2 linked regions of the Notamacropus eugenii genome follow. The protein of the gene in region 2 interacts with the protein of the main gene of each other region in a biochemical or structural test. Links are inferred from orthologs where the notes say so. Each region holds a gene or a part of one and is shown on either strand. Other genes may lie near its edges. The genes, in order: TOLLIP and TOM1.

Region 1 (9,838 bases), on a different chromosome or scaffold from region 2:
CAAGTGCTCTCCAATCTCCTGGAGAGGGAGGAGAAGTCCGGGTATCTCTATGGTCCTTTCTGGACTTTTGGATGACTTTCTTCTCTCCAATAAACAGCCGTCCAACTTGGCCCCTTGCTTTTGCTGGCTGAAGTCCTGCAGCCCTTCTTGACCTGGAGCCATTGCTACTATTTATCAGGTGTATTTTATTAAATTTGTAACTGTTTTTAAAAAGTGAGTGAGGGAAAAAAGGACAAACCAGAGGGTCCTGTGGGCAAGCAGGGCCTCACTGGAGCCGCTGGAAGGGACAGTCACCAACCGGATTTCCCATGACTGGCCTAGGAAAACCTTGGAAGCGTAGAAGGGGAGAGCACACTTGGTGAAAAGATCAGCCTCAGGCTTCTGACAAGGTGGTCTGCATCTCTCTGTACAGCTGTTTGGCAGCAGAGCCCAAAGACACTTGGCTATGATACCCACTGAGGGTCCTCCTAGCTCTGAGTTCCCAAATAGAAAGAAGCAACAGCAGCACCCTTCCACTTAATCAACAGTGTGTGTGTGTATGTGTGTGTGTGAGAGAGAGACACACACACACACACAGAGACAGAGATAGAGACAGAGACAGAGACAGACAGAGAGAGAGAACAGGGAAGGGGAGAGAGAGAAAGGAGAGGGAGGAAGAGGGGGGAGACGGAGAGAGAGAACCAGGACTGGCTGCCATATGGACAAGGTGGGATCATGACTGGGGGGGTGTTGGTGAGAGACAGATGCCCCCCCCCACCCCCCTTAGTCCTAGAAGCTCCTGGAGGGTGGCCTCCTCTGTTCATGTCTCTTGGACCCTCCAGCCCTCCTCCTTCAGGAAGCAGCGAACTCACACTGTGCAAAACGAGAAGCTCAGCCCTTCCCAGGCCCGGCTCACCTGCCTCCCTCTTGCCTAAGCACAACCCTCTTTCCTCACTGTCCTTGTTGAGTTAAGCTGTAGCCAGATGACTTCAATGACTGCCCTATGAAAACTTCCCATCCACTAGAGGCTGCTTGTTTGAGTATAACCACCAGGGGGCGCTGTCGAGCAAGGCAGGCTTCCATGTTAATCCTCTGAGTCCAGGGAAGCGAAGTTGATTCTGCAGGAATGAGTTTTCCTTAAGCCCTGGGCCCTGAGCTCTGCCTTCAAGGGGGCAGAGGGGCATGGCTGCTTGTCCCAGAGTTCGGTGGCACTGGGCACTGCGTTGCTTCCATCCAAGAGAGGGTATTTTCCCAGGGATGGGGGTCCCTCTCTTTCTCTTGGATCACTCATTAAAACAATGAATAAACGAATGGGGAAGGGGAAAGGAAAAGAATAATGTAAAAAAATTCATAACATTCAGTCTGAGCTGGGACTCTCATCTCATGGCTGCCCCCAAAACGAGTTCTTCCCTATTTTGGCTCTATCACACGCCCTGAAACAATTATTCAGAATCCTCTCCTTCCTCAAGGATGGTGGTGACAGGCACAGAAATAGATATGTTTAGAGGAAGGTAATTTTGTTCTGTTTTACAGGTGTAGGAAGAGGAAAAGCAGGGACCACATATCCATTTCTCACGCAGCATCTGCAGGTTCTTGCTGGCGCTGGGTCCTGATCTGCAGGCACCTGACCTGCTCATTTCTTGTCCTCCCCAAATCCCAATCCTCCAGCAGGGCCTTGTGGCTTAACTTTTAGCAGCTGCTTTTTGGTATCTCACTCTGCCTTCAAAGGCTTCCCTCCTTTCCTTCTCCCCACCCCCTTTCCCAAAGGTCAGGGTCAAAGAATACTTTGAGAGTCTGGGTAGCTGGTCCAGCAACTTTGATCCCTCCCACCCCTGAAAGTAGGACTGATGGGGGATGCTTGAGCTTGGAGCCTGCAGGCTACTTCCTAGTCTCCTCTCAAATGCCAAAAATGGAAACACTTTGGCTCTCTCTTTGTATTTATGGGGATATAAATTGGAATTTTTTTGGAATTGGAATTGAATGCTGAATGTACTTTCCCATTCCTTACACTGTCCTCCAGTGAGAAACTAAGGGACTTTATCCTTTCTCCCTCGCATAGCCACTCTTCTGGAAAGAACCATCTACACTTGCTGCCTCCTTTATCAGCTCCTCCACTTGGCTAAAACTTACAAATGACCTCTGAAATACTGAATCTGAGGAGTTTTTCTTGTCTTCTTTGTAGTGATACAAGGACACTCTCAAGGTCTCTCTGAAGAACTCTGGAATCAATTGTGAGACACAGGAGGCACTGACAAATGACTGCGGAGTATGGCGTGCCCGAATCAAAGAAGGCACTGTGTTCTATAAGCAAAGCAGAATTGCATTAGCTCAAAAGAAACGTAAGATGTGCAAATTCAGAGACATCCCCCTCCCAAATGTCCAGATGGATTGTTTGTGTAGGACCTGTGGCAGAGCTTTCCTAGCTTGTACTGGCCTAAGCAGCCATGGCTGGACATCCTGGGCACTGACCCCAACATTGTGATGTTATTTAGGTCCTCCTGAAGTCAACCAGCTTGGGACAGCACTGATCCACTTCCTCCTAGACACATTTTCTCTTCTTGGCTCTCTGAGACTGTGCTCTAGTTCACCACGTCCCTAGCACTCACTCCTCAGTGTTCCTTGATGGACCATCCACAAAAATTTCTCCCCGGTGTTCCTCTTCTCTCCTTACACTTCTTTCTCCTTTGTGATTTCATTTGCTCCCATCAGTTAAGCATCTGTTCTGCTTTGATGGCTCAAACTATATAGCCAGCTCACGTCTTTCTGTGAACTCTGCCCCACATGGCCAACTGCCATGGACATACACATGGCTCCTAGGTATCCAGGTGGCAACTTGAATTTATTTTGTACAAAACAGAGCTGATTCTCTTTGTCTGTGAACTGTTTTCCTCCAAAGACCCCCATTTCTGGATGATAGCAGGCACCACCATCCATGAGGAAAAAGGTTCTGAGCCATTGCTTCGAGGAACATGATAGAGGCTAAAATCAGGAATAATAAAATGATTTATATGATATCAAAAATCAACAAGCATTTATTAAGTGCTTACTGTGTGCTAGGTCAGGGCATCTAGGTGGCACAGTGGATAGCTTGCCAGACCTAGAGACAGGAAGACTCATCTTCCTAGGTTCAAATCTGGCCTCTGACACTTAGTAGCTGTGTGACCCTGGGCAAGTCACTTAGCCCTCTCTGTCTCACTTCCTTATCTGTAAAATGAGCTGGAGAAGGAAATGGAAAACCACTTCACTACCTTGGCCAAAAAACCCCCAAATGGGGTCACAGAGAGTAGGATACCACTGAAAATGACCGAACAATGCACTAGGCACTGTGTTTAGTGTTGGAGAGGCAGAAAATACAAATAATCCCAGCCCCCAAGGGGCTGACATTCTAATAGGGGAGATAACATATAAATCAGGACATTCAAGGTCAATGAATAGACAGATGGACAGATAAATGGAAAGTTAAGAAGGAAAGACATCAGTGCAGGGGAGTGGTCAGGAGAGTCCTCTTTCAGAAGGTGACACTGGAGTTGAGTCTTAAAGGAAGCCTGAAATTCTTGGAGTCAGAGGTGAGAAAGAGCAGGCCACTGGTGGGGAAGAGTAGATCGTGGAGAACCAGTCAGTCAACAAGCATTGGTTGTTTTTCCAAGTGCTGGAGGTAGGTAGAATATAAGTGCACTAGAAAGGTCATAGGGGGCCAAGATGTGAGAAGCTTTAAATGCCAAAGAACTTCCTATCTGAATCTGAAGGTCAAAGGGAGCTGCTAGAGTTTACTGAGTGGGATGGGAGTGGTGATGTGGTCAGACTCACCCTTTGGGAAGATCAGCTGAATGAAGGCTGGATTGGAGAGAAACCTGAGGCAGGTAGATGCACTGGCTGCTATGGCAATAGTCCATGTGTGAAGTGATGAGGGTCTGTATCAACCAAGCAATCAATCAACTAAGGTTTCCTAAGCCCTTACTATGTTTCAGGCACTATGCTAAGCACTGGGGGACACAAAAAGATGCTGCAGAGGTGAAATGGACAAGAGATGACAGAGGTGAAATGGACAAGAGATGGCAGAGGTGAAATGGACAAGAGATGTAGCAGAGGTGAAATGGACAAGAGATGACAGAGGTGAAATGGACAAAAGATGGCAGAGGTGAAATGGACAAGAGATGTAGCAGAGGTGAAATGGACAAGAGATGTAGCAGAGGTGAAATGGACAAGAGATGTAGCAGAGGTGAAATGGACAAGAGATGTAGCAGAGGTGAAATGGACAAGAGATGTAGCAGAGGTGAAATGGACAAGAGATGGCAGAGGTGAAATGGACAAGAGATGTAGCAGAGGTGAAATGGACAAGAGATGTAGCAGAGGTGAAATGGACAAGAGATGTAGCAGAGGTGAAATGGACAAGAGATGTAGCAGAGGTGAAATGGACAAGAGATGGCAGAGGTGAAATGGACAAGAGATGTAGCAGAGGTGAAATGGACAAGAGATGTAGCAGAGGTGAAATGGACATACCTTGGCACCATCTTGGATCTGGGGGTGAGAGTGAGGAGCCCAGGATGCCTCATAAGTTGGGAGCCTGGGGCACTGGGAGAGTGGGGGTGTTGTAGACGGAAGGTTTGGGGGAAAGATGGCAAGTTCTGCTTTGGACAAGCCGAGTTTGAGATGCCTGTAGATGAAACTGGGGCAGAGAGAGGTTAGGGCTGGATTTGTCCGTCCAGGGCAGGGCTCATTTGCAGGGTCAGGTTAGGACTTCCGAAGGGCAGATTGCGCGTGGTGGGGAGAATGGGCAAAGAGATGCCCCCAGCATCTCCAGGAATACCCGAGTGCATGAAAGTGCAAACTCGGGAAACTGAGGGAGGGAAGAGGGGAGCCTTCCCTTTGTAGCCGTCGCAGCCACGTGGGGGGAAGCTGCGGCTAGAACCTCAATGGTGAGAGCCATCCTAAGGGAGGTCCTGGAAAGTCGCTGAGCTCCCTGTCCCTGTAAGTATTTCAGAGGGGGTGCAGGGACTGGCCGGACCCTGCCTCGTTGCGGTCCTTCGAGGACCCCATCCAGCCCGGACTCGTTCAGCCCCGCCCCGGGCCACCCATGCTCCCAAGCAGACCCGGTTCGGTGTGTGAGCTGAGTGTCCGCCAGGAGGCATTCGCGAAGGCGGCGGACTGCGCAGACGCGGCTGTATCCGGGAACATCCGGGCTCTGCCGGGGGGCGGGGCGGAACTCAAAAGGTGTCGGAAGCGGAAGCTGCCCCACTCCCAGGCGACTGTCGCTGGGCAGGGCCTACGTGCGCCTGCGCAGCGTGGCCGCGCGCCGCGCGCCGGGGGCGGAGCCGGGGGCGGGGCCAGGCGGGCGGTCAGTCAGCTGACGAGCCCGAGGCGGCGTCGGTGGAGGAGGAAGAGGAGGAGGCGCCGGGGTTTGGGCCCCGGGTCCGGGCGGGGAGCGGGTGACGCGGCCATGGCGACCACCGTCAGTACCCAGCGGGGCCCGGTAAGGCGGGGGGCCCTCCGGGGGTCTCGTGGGGGGAGGGGCTCCAGCTCTCTTTAGGCCCCCCCCGTGTAGGGGGAGGGGGGCGGCTCCCGGGTGAGCAGGGCCGGGGTCAGGGGTCAGCCGGGCGGCCCCGGGGGCTCTGTGACCTGGGCTGTGGGGTCAGCGGCCCTCCCTGCGGGGCGCTCAGGCGGGGGGAGGGGCAGCCCCCACACCCGAAGGTGCCCCCGAGGGGGCAGAGCCCTGCGGGGTGCTGGGGGGGGAGGGCCAGCCCCCACACCCGAAGGTGCCCCCGAGGGGGCAGAGCCCTGCGGGGTGCTGGGGGGGAGGGGCAGTCCCCACACCCGAAGGTGCCCCCGAGGGGGCAGAGCCCTGCGGGGTGCTGGGGGGGAGGGGCAGCCCCCACACCCGAAGGTGCCCCCGGTCCTTCCATCAGGGGCTGGTGCCCTGTGACCCCGGGGGGCGGGGGGGGGGCTGGCCGTTTCCTCCTCGAGCGCAGATGGGGAAACTCGATTCCACCAGGGCTGCCAGCCCCCTCCCCCTAAATGCCTTGTTTTAGACGGGTTTTATCGGCGATGATTCCGGACTTCGTGCTTTTATCCGCCCCGTTACCTCCCCCAGACCCTCCCTCCCCAGTCACCTCCTGTGGCTCCCTGTGGCCTCAGGGTCAAGGCCTGTGGAAACCTGCTGAGCCATGAGGAGCGTGTGCCCGCAGCCTCGGTCCTTCCGCAGGGAGGCAGGCACGGAAATACTCACACGTGGGGACAGGGATGGAGGGTCCATCGGTAGGGACAGCTCTGGGCTCACAGTCAGGCAGGCCTGAGTTCAAATCCTGGCCGGGTGACCCTGTTTGCCTCAGTTTCCTCATCCGTAAAGTGGGGGTGATGACAGGCTTGTTGTGAGGATGGTGATAGGTAATTGTGTTCTGGAATGACAGTGATAACTGACGGTTGTACAGCCTCAGCTGTGTGCCAGGTTCTGTGGCAGCCCTGGGAGGGAGAGGCAGTCAAGCTGAAAGGGGGGCGGGTGGCATGGAGGCCATGGCTGGGCTCATTCCTCCTCACAGTGGGGGCTCTGGAAGGAACTTAGTGATGGAAGAAGGGGAAGATTGGGGTGGTACAAGATGTCCTGGCATGAGAAGGCCTTAGACCTTGGCAGCCATGCCTAGGAACGAGGGACTCAGGTGAGTGTGGCTTCCTGTGTTTTGTGGATTAGGAATCCTGACTAGGGAAGGACCAGAAGCCCCTGAGGGGTGGGGAGAGGCGTGGGAAAGAGAAGGAAAGCTCAGCTCCTAGGAATTCAGCCAGAGGTGCTGGGGCTGGGTGGGTGGCTGAGCTTGGATGCCGAATCCTGAATTTTGTGTAGCAGAGCCAGTACCTGAGGCACATGTTGATTTTGCCCAACAGGCCCCAGAGGAGAAGGAGCCTTCTGGTCCAAGCCCTCAGGTCAGCCTCCTACCAGCCCTGTCTTCTCGGCCCCTCCCTCGGTCATGTGGTACCACCTTTGGCTGGTATCCTTCCTCTGAGCTGAAGTCGCCATTTTGTCTTGATCCCCCTAACAAGACAACGTGAGCTGGGGCACCCGGTCCCCTTCACTTCCCGTTGTCTCCTCCCAGATCCTCTCTAGCTTGGTTCCCGCAGAGTTGGCCTCAGTGACCAAGATTCTCTTGCCCTCCTCCCCCATTTCTGCCTACTTTAGTGACAAGAAAACCCGTGAGACCTTGATACCCCAGGAGTATAGGCAGGCACCTGCCAGCTTGGAGTACTTTGAAGACACATTGAACAAGAGGCGGGCTCTGTGGTGGAATGGGAAGGACCTGGCTTCCCGCCCTACTGTTAGGAAATCCCAGGTGCTGTCCCTGTCCTGCCGACCTGCCTGTTTGGTCAGAAGAACTGCTGGGCTGTTTTGGTTTAACTGAGCGTTTAGGACAACTTGGTCACTGTGGCCCAGGCCTCCCGGGCTCCTTAGCCTTTCCAGCTCAGCTAGAGCTGGCACTTTACAAAGTTATACAGTCCCGCCCCTGGTCCCAGGACCACTTGGTCCTAATAGGAATTAACAGAAGTTTCTGTAGCTTTTAGAGATGGGCAGAGCCCTGAGCTGCCACGATCTCATTGGTGTTTCATGACAGCTCCAGGGGAGAGCACTTAGAAGGTGTGACAGGCCCCCCCCCCCCCCCCCCCAGTCTCACAGGGTGTGGCTCCCACCCTGTCTAGACTGGCCTCCGTCAGGAGCAGGAGAGACAGAGACTGGCTGTCTCCCGCTGGCCACTTACCTCATTGGAACAGGCTCAGCCCAGATACCCTCATCTGTACTCAGTTGCCTACCTCCTTGAACTACCTTCTTGGATTTAAGCATTGTGTGCTCGTGCACACACGTGTGTGTGTGTTACCTGCATGTTTGTGTTGTGTGCACATCCACATGCCCACAACTTCCCTATGAGAACAGAAGCTCCCAGTGAGAAGGAATCGGTCCATTCTTTGTCCTTGTACCTCTACCCTCTGACCCAGAGTGTGGCACAAAGTAGGTGTTTAATGGAATGTGGTTGTATGGTTGAGATGCCTGTGCCCATCCACACAGCTAGGAAGCAAGTGAAGATGGGTGTCACTGCAGCACAAGGAGATTGTCATTGGGCAAGCAATGGTCTGTGTGGCCCAGATGGTTTAGGCCTCCAGGCCCCTGGGGTTCTTGGAGGCAATCTTGGAGTGTAGACTTAGCTCAGAGAGAAAGGAAAGGGTGGATTGTCATTGGGGAGGGGGACTGCTTAGGGAGGAGGTCCCAGAGAGAGTGTTCAAGCTCTGTTGTGTCCAGGACAGACGCCATCATGGTGTGGCTATCACTCCCAGGGTTTAGTAAACACTTCTGACTGGTTTCGTGGATGCACCCTAGGCTGCTTCAGCAGGCTAGTCAGGCTTCCATTTCCGTGACATAGAATTTGTTTTTCCTCATTTGTACTTTTTAAAAAAAGGAGCACTGGTGCTGACAGAGGCATTTTAAATGCTGAAGCCAAGCAGCCTTTCACTTCCTAACACAGTGTAAGATATTGTAGTTCCAGACTTTGTCCGTCATTTTGAATCCTTTGAATAGTTTGACCGATTTTCTAGACCGAAGCTTTGTGCTTGGCTCCTGATGCACAGTGAGTCTGCACAGCCTTGGCTTGGGGTGTCCTCTGGTGCCACGAGAGGGGCCGGGCCCGATCGTTCTTTCTTTCCTGAGTTTGGACATTTGGGGACATTGCACCATGGGGAGAAGCAGATTTATGGAAGTGCCTGGATCTAAATATGAGAACTCAGTCGTGCTCGACCCAGCAGCCCCCGACGGAAGCTGGGCCTCGGGCCCCAGGCTGCTGCCTGCTTCGTGCTTCATCCAGGGGACACTGAGAAGGGGCTCTGGTCGGTCCAAGTGGGGGATACTGTAAAAGAAGTAAATTTCTTCTCTTTGGAACATTTTTATTTATTTCATCAAACATTTTCCAATTGCATGTAACATTTTTTTAACATTTGTTTTAAAAAATGGAGTTCCAAGTTCTCCCTCATTTCTGTCCCCCACTCCCCTTGAGAAGACGAGCGATCTGATATTGATTATGCGTGTGAAGTCATGCAGAACACATCTCCATGTTGGCCATGTCCCAAAAGAAAGCGTGTAGCTCCAGGGCCACTCAGCTTCTGAGTTCAGATCCAGCCTCACACACTGACTAGCTGTGTGACCATAAACCACTTTACCCTGCTTGCCTCAGTTTCCTCCTCTGGCAAATCACTCCAGTATCTCTGCCAAGAAAACCCCAAAGAGGGTCACAAAGTCAGACATGACTGAAGACATTACAGAAAGAAAACAGACAAAAAAGTAAAGCAAGAAACTGAAGTAAAAATAGTCTGCTTTGATCCGTACTCAGTGCATCATTTTTCTCTCTGTAGGCAGTACATTTCATCATGAGGCCTTTGGGATTGTCTCAGGGCATCCGCACTGCTGAGAATGGCCAAGTACATTATGGCTGTTAGGAGGTTGTAATGCTAAGGACTTTAAAGATCTTCCCCACCCGTTAATCCCCCCATAAAGGGGGGTTTGATTAGGGGAGATTTGTGGGAAGGCCTACGCCTTTTGTCAGTCTTCTAATGAGGCGCTGGTTCTCAAGGGTTGTGATGCCCTCTGGCCCTGAAAAGTGTATAAATACTCTCTGGTGAGGTTTCACTTGAGGGCTTCCTCATGGGAAGTGTTGTTAGGCCAGAGGAGACTCTGGGCAGCCCCTAAGGAACCCCTGGCTTTGAGGCTTTGGTAACTATGTATGTGATAGTCAGACAGTTGTCCGTCTGTTGGTCTGTGGCGTATGTCAGACAGTTGTCCATCTGTTGGTCTGTGGCGTATGTCAGACGGTTGTCTGTCTGTTGGTCTGTGGCG
Region 2 (9,877 bases):
CTACCTAAAACACCAGGCTTGCAACCCTACAAATAACTTTTGTTCTTCCCTTTCTCTGCCTTTTCTGCCCTCCCCACTCAATCATTAGGGAAAAACAGAAGGACTGTAATTCAGAGTCAGGGAGGCAACTGTTGTTTGCCTTATTAGTCGAATTTCACAGAGAAACTGAGGCACAGAGAGGTAAGTGATTTACCCAATGTCACACAGGTAGGTGGCAGAGCAAAATGAAAATTAGGGCCAGTCTCTGATATAAGTGGAAGCTACAGATCCCTTGTTTATTCAGCCCCTGTAATCCTCTGGGAGGTCCCATAGCTAGGAAACAGAATTCCTGAATCGTAGTCTGTCCTCAGGTTGTCTCCTGCCCTATGTTTTGGTGCTGGCAGGACCTGTCCTGGGACAGTACTTAGAAAATGCTTAGATAACCACCAAATGTAATCACAAGTGATTACTTATTAATCTGGAAACCTTTCCCTACTGGGCTGTTGCCCTGGTGAAGGGGCCCATGGATAGAGAAACAATAGCAGGAAGGTTAGTATTAACTAAATTATATTTGTCAGCCTGCAGAGATGAGGGGAGTCAGGGGTCACGGTGGACCCCATGGGCTGGAAGAGCCACCATCTGTCAGGTAGGAGGATGGAGGAGCCTGTGGAGTTCAAGCCTGCCCATATGGGCCCAAAAAATGAGTATAAAGATGCAGTTTTGAAGTGGATACAGGTGACCTTGTTCCATTATCAGCACAGACCCATGGAGACTGTAGCTCTGGGCTGTTCTGCCCGTGGCTGATGGGGCTCAGAGGCTACAGATCCTGCCCCTTGGGCCTGGTGGGGAGGCAGCTCTTCTGGGGAGAACCTTCCACCCCCAAAGAAGATGGCCTTGGGCCAACAGAAAGGATTCGGGATGAACCTAGATTAGTGCCATGCGGTTTCACTCTACCTCTGACTAAGGGAAGAATCAGGATGACTGGGCTGTTCAACCAATACCTCTCAGGGGCCTACTATGTGCAGGTTAGTACGGATGTATGGGCCTACTCCATGCAGAACACTGGATTAGTACAGATGTATGGGCCTACTATGTGCAGAACACTGGATTAGTACAGATGTATGGGTTTACTATGTGCAGAACACTGGATTAATACAGATGTATGGGCCTACTACGTGCAGAACACTGGGTTAATAAGGGTATATGGGCTTCCTACATGCAGAACACTGGGTTAGTACAGATGTATGGGCCCACTACATGCAGAACACTCATATCCTGTGCTTTTAGATTTGGGGCCCTGGGCACATCAATTAGTCCACTAAGCTTCGATTTCCTTCTTTATAACATGGGCATAATACTAAGTGGATTCTCCAGCCCACAAGGCTGCCATAAACCTCAGAGGGCTAAGAACATTCAAGTTACATTCAAGTTCAGTAATCCCTGAACCATGGGTTAATGTCAAAGGTGGCCACTAGGAGAGGAGGATGGTCTGCTTCTCCTGTTGGATCTGTCACTGACTCTGGGACCTTGGCTAAGTCACTGTGTGCCAGTGAGAATAAGAGGGCCAGACAAAGGACCTGCCAGACCCCTTCCAGCGCTGCTGGGATGCTCTGATGGCTGGGAGAGAACAGGAGTAGCTCAGGCTACCAAGAGGAGCTTCCTTAGCCTTCCAAGACCCCCTATACCTCCTGGTTAGTGCTAAGAAAGGCAAACCCTCAGGAAAACTGGTTACATACAAAAGGGAGCTTGCCAAAGAGTGAGGAGAGAGCTGGGTTCAAATCCTGCCTGATACTGACTAGCTACATGGTGCTGAGGAGATGATTTCTTTTTAGGCCTCAGTTCACTCATCTGTAAAATGGAGACACTATTGATAAGGTTTCCTTGGAAGGATTGGTGTGCCCACAGCTGGCAATGAAAGCTCTTCCCAGCTTATTGTCCTGCTTCATACATCATGCTCTCTCTCTCCCAAATCAAGCCTTTGCCCTGGTGGTCCCCTCTGCCTGGAATGCCATCCCTCCTCATTTCTGCCCTCTTTTGCTTTCTCTGAGTGCTCTCAGCAAACGCCTGGTCCACAGGAAGCAGACACTTCACAGATGCCTTCAGAGTTACACTCTATGAATTGCTGTAACTCAGAATGGTGAATTTTCTCCAAAAATCCATTGTATTTGTCAATTAGGGAAGCTCCAATCTTGGCCAGAAGTGAAAGTGGGGCAGTCTGGGACTGGGGGGTGGGAAGACTCAGGAGCCACAGGCATGCTCTCTCCAGCCCAGAACCTGACTCATGGTCAGGTGGCCTTCCAGGAGGCGTCTAAAGCTGGGATCACCCCACCCTGGGAGGAATCTGAGAACAGTTATTCTGACCACAAAGGCTGGAATTCCAGAGATGGGGGATGAGCTTGGGATGAAATCAGATCAGACATTTGGAATTGGAAAGGACAGTCAGTCTGCAAGGCTGCCCTGCCCAGGCCAGTCCCAGGACCAGAATCCCAGTCTTTCTGGTTCAGAACTCTCATTGTAGAAGATGCCTTGGGGGGTGGGGGGTGGGGGGCAGGGGGAGAGGAGGAGTCAGATCCTCACAACAACCTTGGGAGAGAGGGGCTGGTAGTAGTCCCACTTTCAGGTGGGGAAACTGAGGCAGACCTAGCTGACTTGCTCAGGGTTACATACTTAAAAAGTAGCTGAAGCTAAGTTTGGACTAGTTGTGCTCCACCCGGTGAGTAATCCAGCCGCCTTCTGAATCTCATCTTATCCTCAGCACAGTCTTGTTAAGCAGGTCATGCAAATATTAAAAGGCCTGGTTCAGGTCCTCATCCCTTCTGGCCTTTTGATAGCATCCCCAGCCCTGTCTTTCCCCTCACCCAGATGCCACTCTGCCTCCTCCCCTCCAGTGGCACCCCATCACCTCCAGGATCAAATAGAAAATAAAGTCCTTCACCCCATTCCAGTCTTCCACCTTCCACCTCCTGTGTGCTGGTGTTGCTGTTTCCAGAACACATAACTCTTATTTCCCACCCACAGGCCTTTGCACTGTCTGTGCCCCATGCCTGGAAGCCTGTCCTTCTTCACCTCTGCTCTTTGCTACCCCAGTTTCTCCAGGACTCAGTTCAAATCCTACCTTCTTCCAAAGGCCTCTCTTGCGAGATGATTTTCTCTCCACTCTGTACCCATTCCCTAGGCACAGCCATCTTCCCACCCATACAAAGGGAGCTCCCCTTTCTTTGGGTCTCCAGCCCCTCCCACTATGCCTGGCCCGGAGTAAGCACCTAAAGGAGCTGCTGACTGACTGATCACAGACAAAGCAGGGTCTTCCAGTGGCCCCCTCCTCAGCTGGGACAGACCCAGCCTCAGGTCCTCCCTTCTACTTTTCAGAATTCTTTTTTCCTTGGAGGATCAGCTTCATGCCACCTACTCCATGAAGCCCCCCTTCCTCTTCCTAGGATCAACTTTTCATTCATCTGCATAACTATGACACCCACTGTATACATGTTAGTCAGTTAATTAACTGATTAACTGCAGTGACTTCTCAGAATATCAGGCCTAAATGCGTGGTCTCCCCTCAACAGGACACGAGCTTTTCCAGGCCAGGGACCATCTAGATTGGTGACCCCCAACGCACACAGTAAGTGCTTAATAGATGCCTTTTCATTCAGAGGATCAAAAATCTACCGGAGAATGGGGACAGATGAAGGGGTGTGGCCCGGGGGAAGTGAGGCAGGATTGGGACAGAAAGTGCTGTAGCCAGCATTTATTAGGCGCCTACTGTGGGCCGCGGTCTGGCGACACAGAGAAGACCCAGACTCACTGCTTCCCCAGCCCAGGGCTACGCGCACAGTAGGGAGCTTTCCCCCTCCCCTGTATCTGGTCTGCACGTGGTCACTCTGAGTCCTCCAGGGCACACAGCAGGAGCTACAAAAATGCTTACTGACCAATTTATGTCCGTGGAACTGCACCCCCATTTTGCAGATGAGAAACTGAGGCTCAGACAAGAGAAGTGACGCAGAAAAGTTGGGAAGACCCTCGGGGCACTGGTCCGCCCCGGAATAGTCAGGGGCAGGACTGGAACCCAGATCCTCCGCCCCCCCAGGCTCTGTCCCGTGGATCCCTCTGCCTCGAGGTCCCTCGCCCGGGTGCCGAGTGCCAGACCCCGGACACCCCTGTCCCGGCGCAGCTGACGCTCGGAGCCCCGGGGGCGGGAACGCTGCGGGCCCTTTAAGAGAGAAAACTTTCTGCCCGGCTCCGGGGACCTCCTCGGGCGCTGATTGGATAAGCCGCGGCCTCCGGCTCCCGCCCCCCAAGCAGGCTATAGGCCCGAGCCCTCGCCAGTCGGTCAAACCACCTTTTCTATTGGCTCGAGGACGTTGTCACTCCGCGCTCTCGAGGCAGGGGGGGAGGATCCCCTGAGTCCCCTAGATCTGGGGCTTCGAGCCCGAGGGGTCCCCAGGAGGCGGAGGCCGGCATTGGGGAGGCCGGGACGCGCGGAGCACTTACCGATGCGCTGCCCCACAGGGGAGCTGAACGGGTTCCCCAGGAGAAAGTCCATGGTCGCCGCCGCCGCCACCCCTCCGAGCCCGAGGGATCAGCTGACAGCAACTGCCACGGCCTCGGAGTCGTCACGTGACCCGCCCCCCCCCCCCCCCGAGCAGCCACAGGCCCCGCCCCGTGACGTGCCAATCACCGGCACGAGGCGTAGGCGCGCGGTGGGAGCAGGGGGCCCTCGTGACGTCACGCAACCTCGCCACCCCGCAGCCTCCTCCGCGGAATGTCAGAGGTCATCGAGGGCAGCCCCCGGCCTCCCCTCCTCCACCGTTGCACACCGGAGGCCCAGAGAGGGGGCGGGGCTTGCCCGCAGCTACAGCCATAAGCGACTCCCTGGCTGCCTGCGGCCTCAGTTTGCCCCTCCGTGCCAGGGGGCGTTCCCGGCTGGCCCCCGGGGGCTCCGGGTGTAAGGACTCTATGGTAAAAGGGAGAGCGGAGAAGGGCGAGGGGATGGGCTCGGAGTGGGAACGCCGGGTTCCCCTCCTACCTGCCGAAGTCACCGTCAATCAGCATTTATTAAGCACCTCCTGTGTGCCAGCCCCGGAGCGCATATAAGGAAAGTCAGGGGCCGCCCTTGCCCTCTAAGAGGGACCAGGAGACCGGCACAAACTCCTGCCTTGTGCGGCTTCCCCCCTGGAGCCCTCACTGTTGTCATTTCCGTGGTATCTGGCACACAGTAGGCACTCAATAAGTGCTCATGGGGGGCTGGACGCAGTGATCCCCAAGTCACCGTATGATTCCTCCCCACCCCTGGTCACCATGGCAGCTCACTAAGCAGTCCTTCCCCGTTAGCCAACTCCTTGGTATTCCAGCATCTGTTTGGGGGCTTTATGGAGCTCCTGGCTCTCCCCCTCCCCCTACAGATGGGTAAACCAAGGCCCAGCCGTCATGTAGTGACCTAGGCTCTCACCTAACTTTTCTGCTCACTGGCTGTGCCAACCTGGGTAAGTCCATCTCCCTTTGTCTCAGTTTCTATTTGAATAATTAAGTGGAGAACAGGGACACCTAAAGGAGCTGAGGGTTGGACTGATTTCCCTGTGGTTGTAAGCACGTCATCCTTCCCCACCCTTCCGGTAAGGACTAGGACTATTAGACCATTCATTGTTTTTTCCAAAACAGTCAGTGGTCCCTTTCCAACAAGCCTATCTGTTCACTCTGAAAAAAGAAGGAAAATCCAGGAATTGGAAACCCCAAGGGGAGAGAACCACTTGGCAAGGTGTTGCCCTTTCAAGATGGAAATCAGGTGGGCCAGCTTCAAGTTATTTTATTAGATGTTTGACTTCTCTAAACCTATTTCCTCATCTGTAAAATGGAGATAATTACATTTTTACTGGCTGTCTCATGGCGTTATTAGGAAGATGCCATAAACACAAAAAAATTCATAAAAACAAGTTTTCTTTATTATTATTAGGTGTTAAGTATTCATTGATTACAATAATGTGATTTTTAAAAGACCTAAACAAAAGTTGAAATCTGTTTAGGCCTCAGAGGAAACCTTAAAAGTGCTATAAAAATATTAGTTGCTGCTATGGTTCAAGTCAATTCAATAGACATTTATCAGACACCGGTATGTGCCAGGTCCTGGGAATACAAAGTAAAAAATGGAAGCATTGTTTGCTCTCAAGGGTTACATTCTACTGGGGGACAGGGGAGAGGGAGAGAATGTACACAGACAAGCGAATACAAACGTATACCAAGTTATTGGGAGGAATCAGGAAAGACCCAACCATAGGGTACCAGGGCCTTGTACTTGCATAAGCCCTAGAGTTTTCAAAGTGCTTTCCAATCCATATTTAACACTCACCACAGCCATTAAAGGGGCTTCAACAATGATCTGGCTCTTTCTTTGACCAGCTGTGTGACTGCAGACAAGTGATAACCTTTCCAAGCCTCCCTGCCTCATCTGTAAAATGACGTTAATTCTTGTGCCATAAGAGGGTAATTGTCAGGAAAGTGCCTCGTCAACCTTGATGTGCTACACATGGGAGCTATCAGAGTAGAAAGGGAGATCCCCATGCCCTTAATTTACAGAGAAGGACACTGAGGTCGAGGCTGCCAAAAGTCTCCCAGTTACCGATGAGTAGTAAAGACGAGACATTCAGATCTTCTGACTCTCTTTAAAGGAGTCTTTCCATAATACCATATGCTTAACCCCATGAGGTAGGCAGGCATTGTTAGAGGGAGAAACTGAAACCCAGAGATAAATGAATGAATGGTGCCAAGTGTGGGGGAAGCAGATAAAATAAGTCACATTCCAGTGGGGGAACTCACTAAGTTATTTGCTCATGTGTTTTGCATGGTCAGGAAGGAGGTGTGGAGCACATTTTGACACCAGATTGGGGCTGCCTTCTCCCATGTGTCTGCTTCAGAGGAGAACAGAGGAAGAGTGTGCAAAAACCACAGGATCTTAGAGATGTCTAAGTTCAGCTCCATGCATTTAATGGATCAATTTTACTTTATCTTCCATCAGCAGACATGTTTAAATGGATGTAGGGAAAGCAAAGACAGACCCAGAAAAATCCCCAGAAGCACAATGGAACTCCCAAACAAGTCATAGAATAAGCATATAACCCATTGACCAAGTAAAAATAAAAACAAGAGAACATGTCTCACTCCAGAAGTCAATGGGTGGCAGTGGAAAAAACTCCCTGTTCTGGAGTCACAGGTCCTGGGTTCAAATACTGCCTCTGATGCATATAATCAAGTTACCCTGGGCAGACCTAGACCACAAAGCCTCTGAGATTCTTTTCATTTCTAGATTTAAGATGCCCTGATGCCATAAAGTGTGGGTTGGCAAATTACATAAATCATCCTTAGGTTCATACAAAAATCCTTAGGGGTTTGCCAACCCCTGCTCTAGGCAAGGAAAACAATGATAAAAAGTGGTGACTGGACTGGTGTCCTTGCTATTGGACAGAAGAGACAATGACCACGGGACTCATGAGTTACTGTTTTTCCAGTTCAGTGTTCTCTGCCTCTACGCAGGTCTGTTGACACCTGTTCTTTGGGCTTCTGCTTTCTCTCTCAAATTCATTAACTAATGACATATCTTTGCCTCTTCTCTTATGGTGAAGCAACATTCCCATCTAATCTCATACAGTAATTTCTTCAGCCATCCCCCTAATGGGCACCCAAGTGGCTTCTGGATTTTTTTCCATCCTACTTTTCACAGATGAAGAAAGAAGGGAGGGTCACAGGAGAATATTGGAACCCAGGACTCCTGGCTTGTGGACTGTCTCCATCATACCACCTGGTCTCGTGCCTAGACTCAAGAGCTGTTCAGGACCCAAGGCTTCCCTTCCCTCTCTAAACTTGATGCCTTCCCATACTTAAGTTGATCTGGGATTGAAAAGATTGAAACTTTTTTTTTTAACATGCTAGGCAATTCCATGAGATTGGGAGCTTTCTGAGGGCAGGGACTGTCTTTTGTCACTTTTCGTATCCCCAGGGCCTTAGGATGGTATCTGGCATACAGTAGGCACTTAATAAATGATGACTGAATTCTTGCCTCTCCCTTTCAGTAAGTCCTCCACATGGAGTGAACTAAAGGCCTTCCTTTGAACATTTTGGGCAGGCCAGGGCCATGGCCGCAGTAGGAAGGGTCTGCTTTCTGTTTTCTATTACCCTTCATTCTCACTAACTGACTGGCTCTGTTTCCCATTTCTACCTTCACACCGTCAAAACAGTCACTCAGATGTCACCAAATGCTTGGCTTAGATGCCATTTGTAGATGATCGTAGGCAAGTCATTCACTTACAAGCTGCGGTAGTGATGGTGGTGGGGAACCCAATGATCAACTAATCAACCAGAAGGAATTTATTAAACTCCCAGTTTTGCAGGCCCTCCCTGTGCTCAGAGCTCGGGGTACAGAGACAAAGGAAAGCAGTACATTCTAATGGGGGTGGGTCTTGGGCCTCCTATGACAAACTTCCCACTACTTAGGTAACATGTGGTTCCACAACTTGTGAATTCATTTGACAAGTATCTGGAAAGTGTTGACGCCCCTCTGCTGCCCTCTTCCATCAGTGCAGGGAAGACAGTCTGATCCAAACCTACTTCCCAGCTAGGGCTGAACAAGGTGGTCTACACACATTTATTGTTTGATTAATGAATTCTGGCTAGTTTCCACACCCACTAATAGATTCCTCCATAAATCAGCCTCTTCCCATTTCTATGGTTTCTTCTCTCTTTGTACTAGGTGGCTCGCCAGTCCTGCTTTCCAATCCCAAACACCCTCCCAGGTCTTTGCAAGGTGGTCTCCTATGCCTGGAATGCACTCCTTCCAACTCCACTTTAAGAACCCCAGCTTATTTCCAAGAACAGTACAGTTCAGCTGCTCCTGAATCAAATCAAATGTTTAATTTACTTCTGTCCTGTTATACCCTGCCTCCGCTATAGCTCTTTGAGGGTAGCGATTGTCCTCATGGCCCTAATGCCTTGAACATACATAGTGGGGGCTTAATATGACTTGAATTTGATTTTATCCCACAATAAAGGCACAGGAGGCAGTATGGCTTAGTGGATGGGGCTAGTCTCAGAGTTAGGAAGACCTGGGTTCCAACGCTTCCTCAGACACACTGTGCCTGTGACTCTAGATAACACTCTTAAGACTTAGTGTCAGAGAAGGTGCTGATTTGCATTGATAGGAAGGAATTCCTTGAAATCACAGGTCTAGTCAAAACAAAGATACAATTTTATTCCTCTCAGCCTTGTGATATTTCTGCTCTGTTTTGTCTGAGTAATGTTTGTGTCTAGCATTTTCAGCTTTTCAGACAAGTCTTAATCCCGTTAACGTGAGGCTGAAGGGGGGGAAGGAAAGAAATCCATTAGCATGAACACTGAAAGCTGAAGGTTAACTCCCTGCAACCATCCAGGATGGGCTAATGTAGACACTGATCACTCTGTAAAGGAGGTTCCCCAGGGACCTTCTGCTAGCCACAGGCCTGAGGAGCGGGGTGAGGCAACCTTGGCGGTCTCCAGTTGCACCAACCAGATATTCAGCAGAAAGAGAAGTGACAGGGGAAGGTGGGAAAGGAGGCTGGAGTGGGGAATTAACAGGATCACGGCCCTCAGATTGGAAGGGACCTCATGGGCCATGGTCCAGAACTCTCATTTTAGAGATGAGGAAACTAATGTGGAAAAAGACTGGGTGAGATGACTGTCAGAAGATCCTGGTTTGGATCCTGGCCTTGAAACTTGCTGTGTGTGATCATGACAGATCAGCCTCTCGTCCTGAGCCTTAGCTCCCTCATTATTCATGGGGGGGGGGGGGGGAGGAAGGGGGAAGTGCTTTGCAAAGCACTAGAGAGAAATGAGTTTTTACTGAGTGGGGACATTTTCCCCAGAGTGTTAAGACTTCCTG

What was found.
Region 1: the proteins of TOM1 (region 2) and TOLLIP form a complex in vitro, tested with the Homo sapiens proteins (3 studies listed by BioGRID and IntAct, with this or other methods). The link is inferred for Notamacropus eugenii from reciprocal best matches to the Homo sapiens genes TOM1 and TOLLIP.

Annotation. Positions count from the first base shown.
Region 1 is NC_092873.1:26,707,066-26,716,903, forward strand, and holds the start of TOLLIP (toll-interacting protein), read left to right. Parts: upstream 1-5,882; 5' UTR 5,883-6,186; intron 6,187-6,512; 5' UTR 6,513-6,606; coding exon 6,607-6,629; intron 6,630-6,852; coding exon 6,853-6,891; intron 6,892-7,144; coding exon 7,145-7,295; intron 7,296-9,838. UniProt on the Homo sapiens protein: Component of the signaling pathway of IL-1 and Toll-like receptors. Inhibits cell activation by microbial products. Recruits IRAK1 to the IL-1 receptor complex. Inhibits IRAK1 phosphorylation and kinase activity.
Region 2 is NC_092874.1:292,426,034-292,435,910, reverse strand, and holds the start of TOM1 (target of Myb1 membrane trafficking protein), read right to left. Parts: upstream 4,594-9,877; 5' UTR 4,520-4,593; coding exon 4,468-4,519; intron 1-4,467.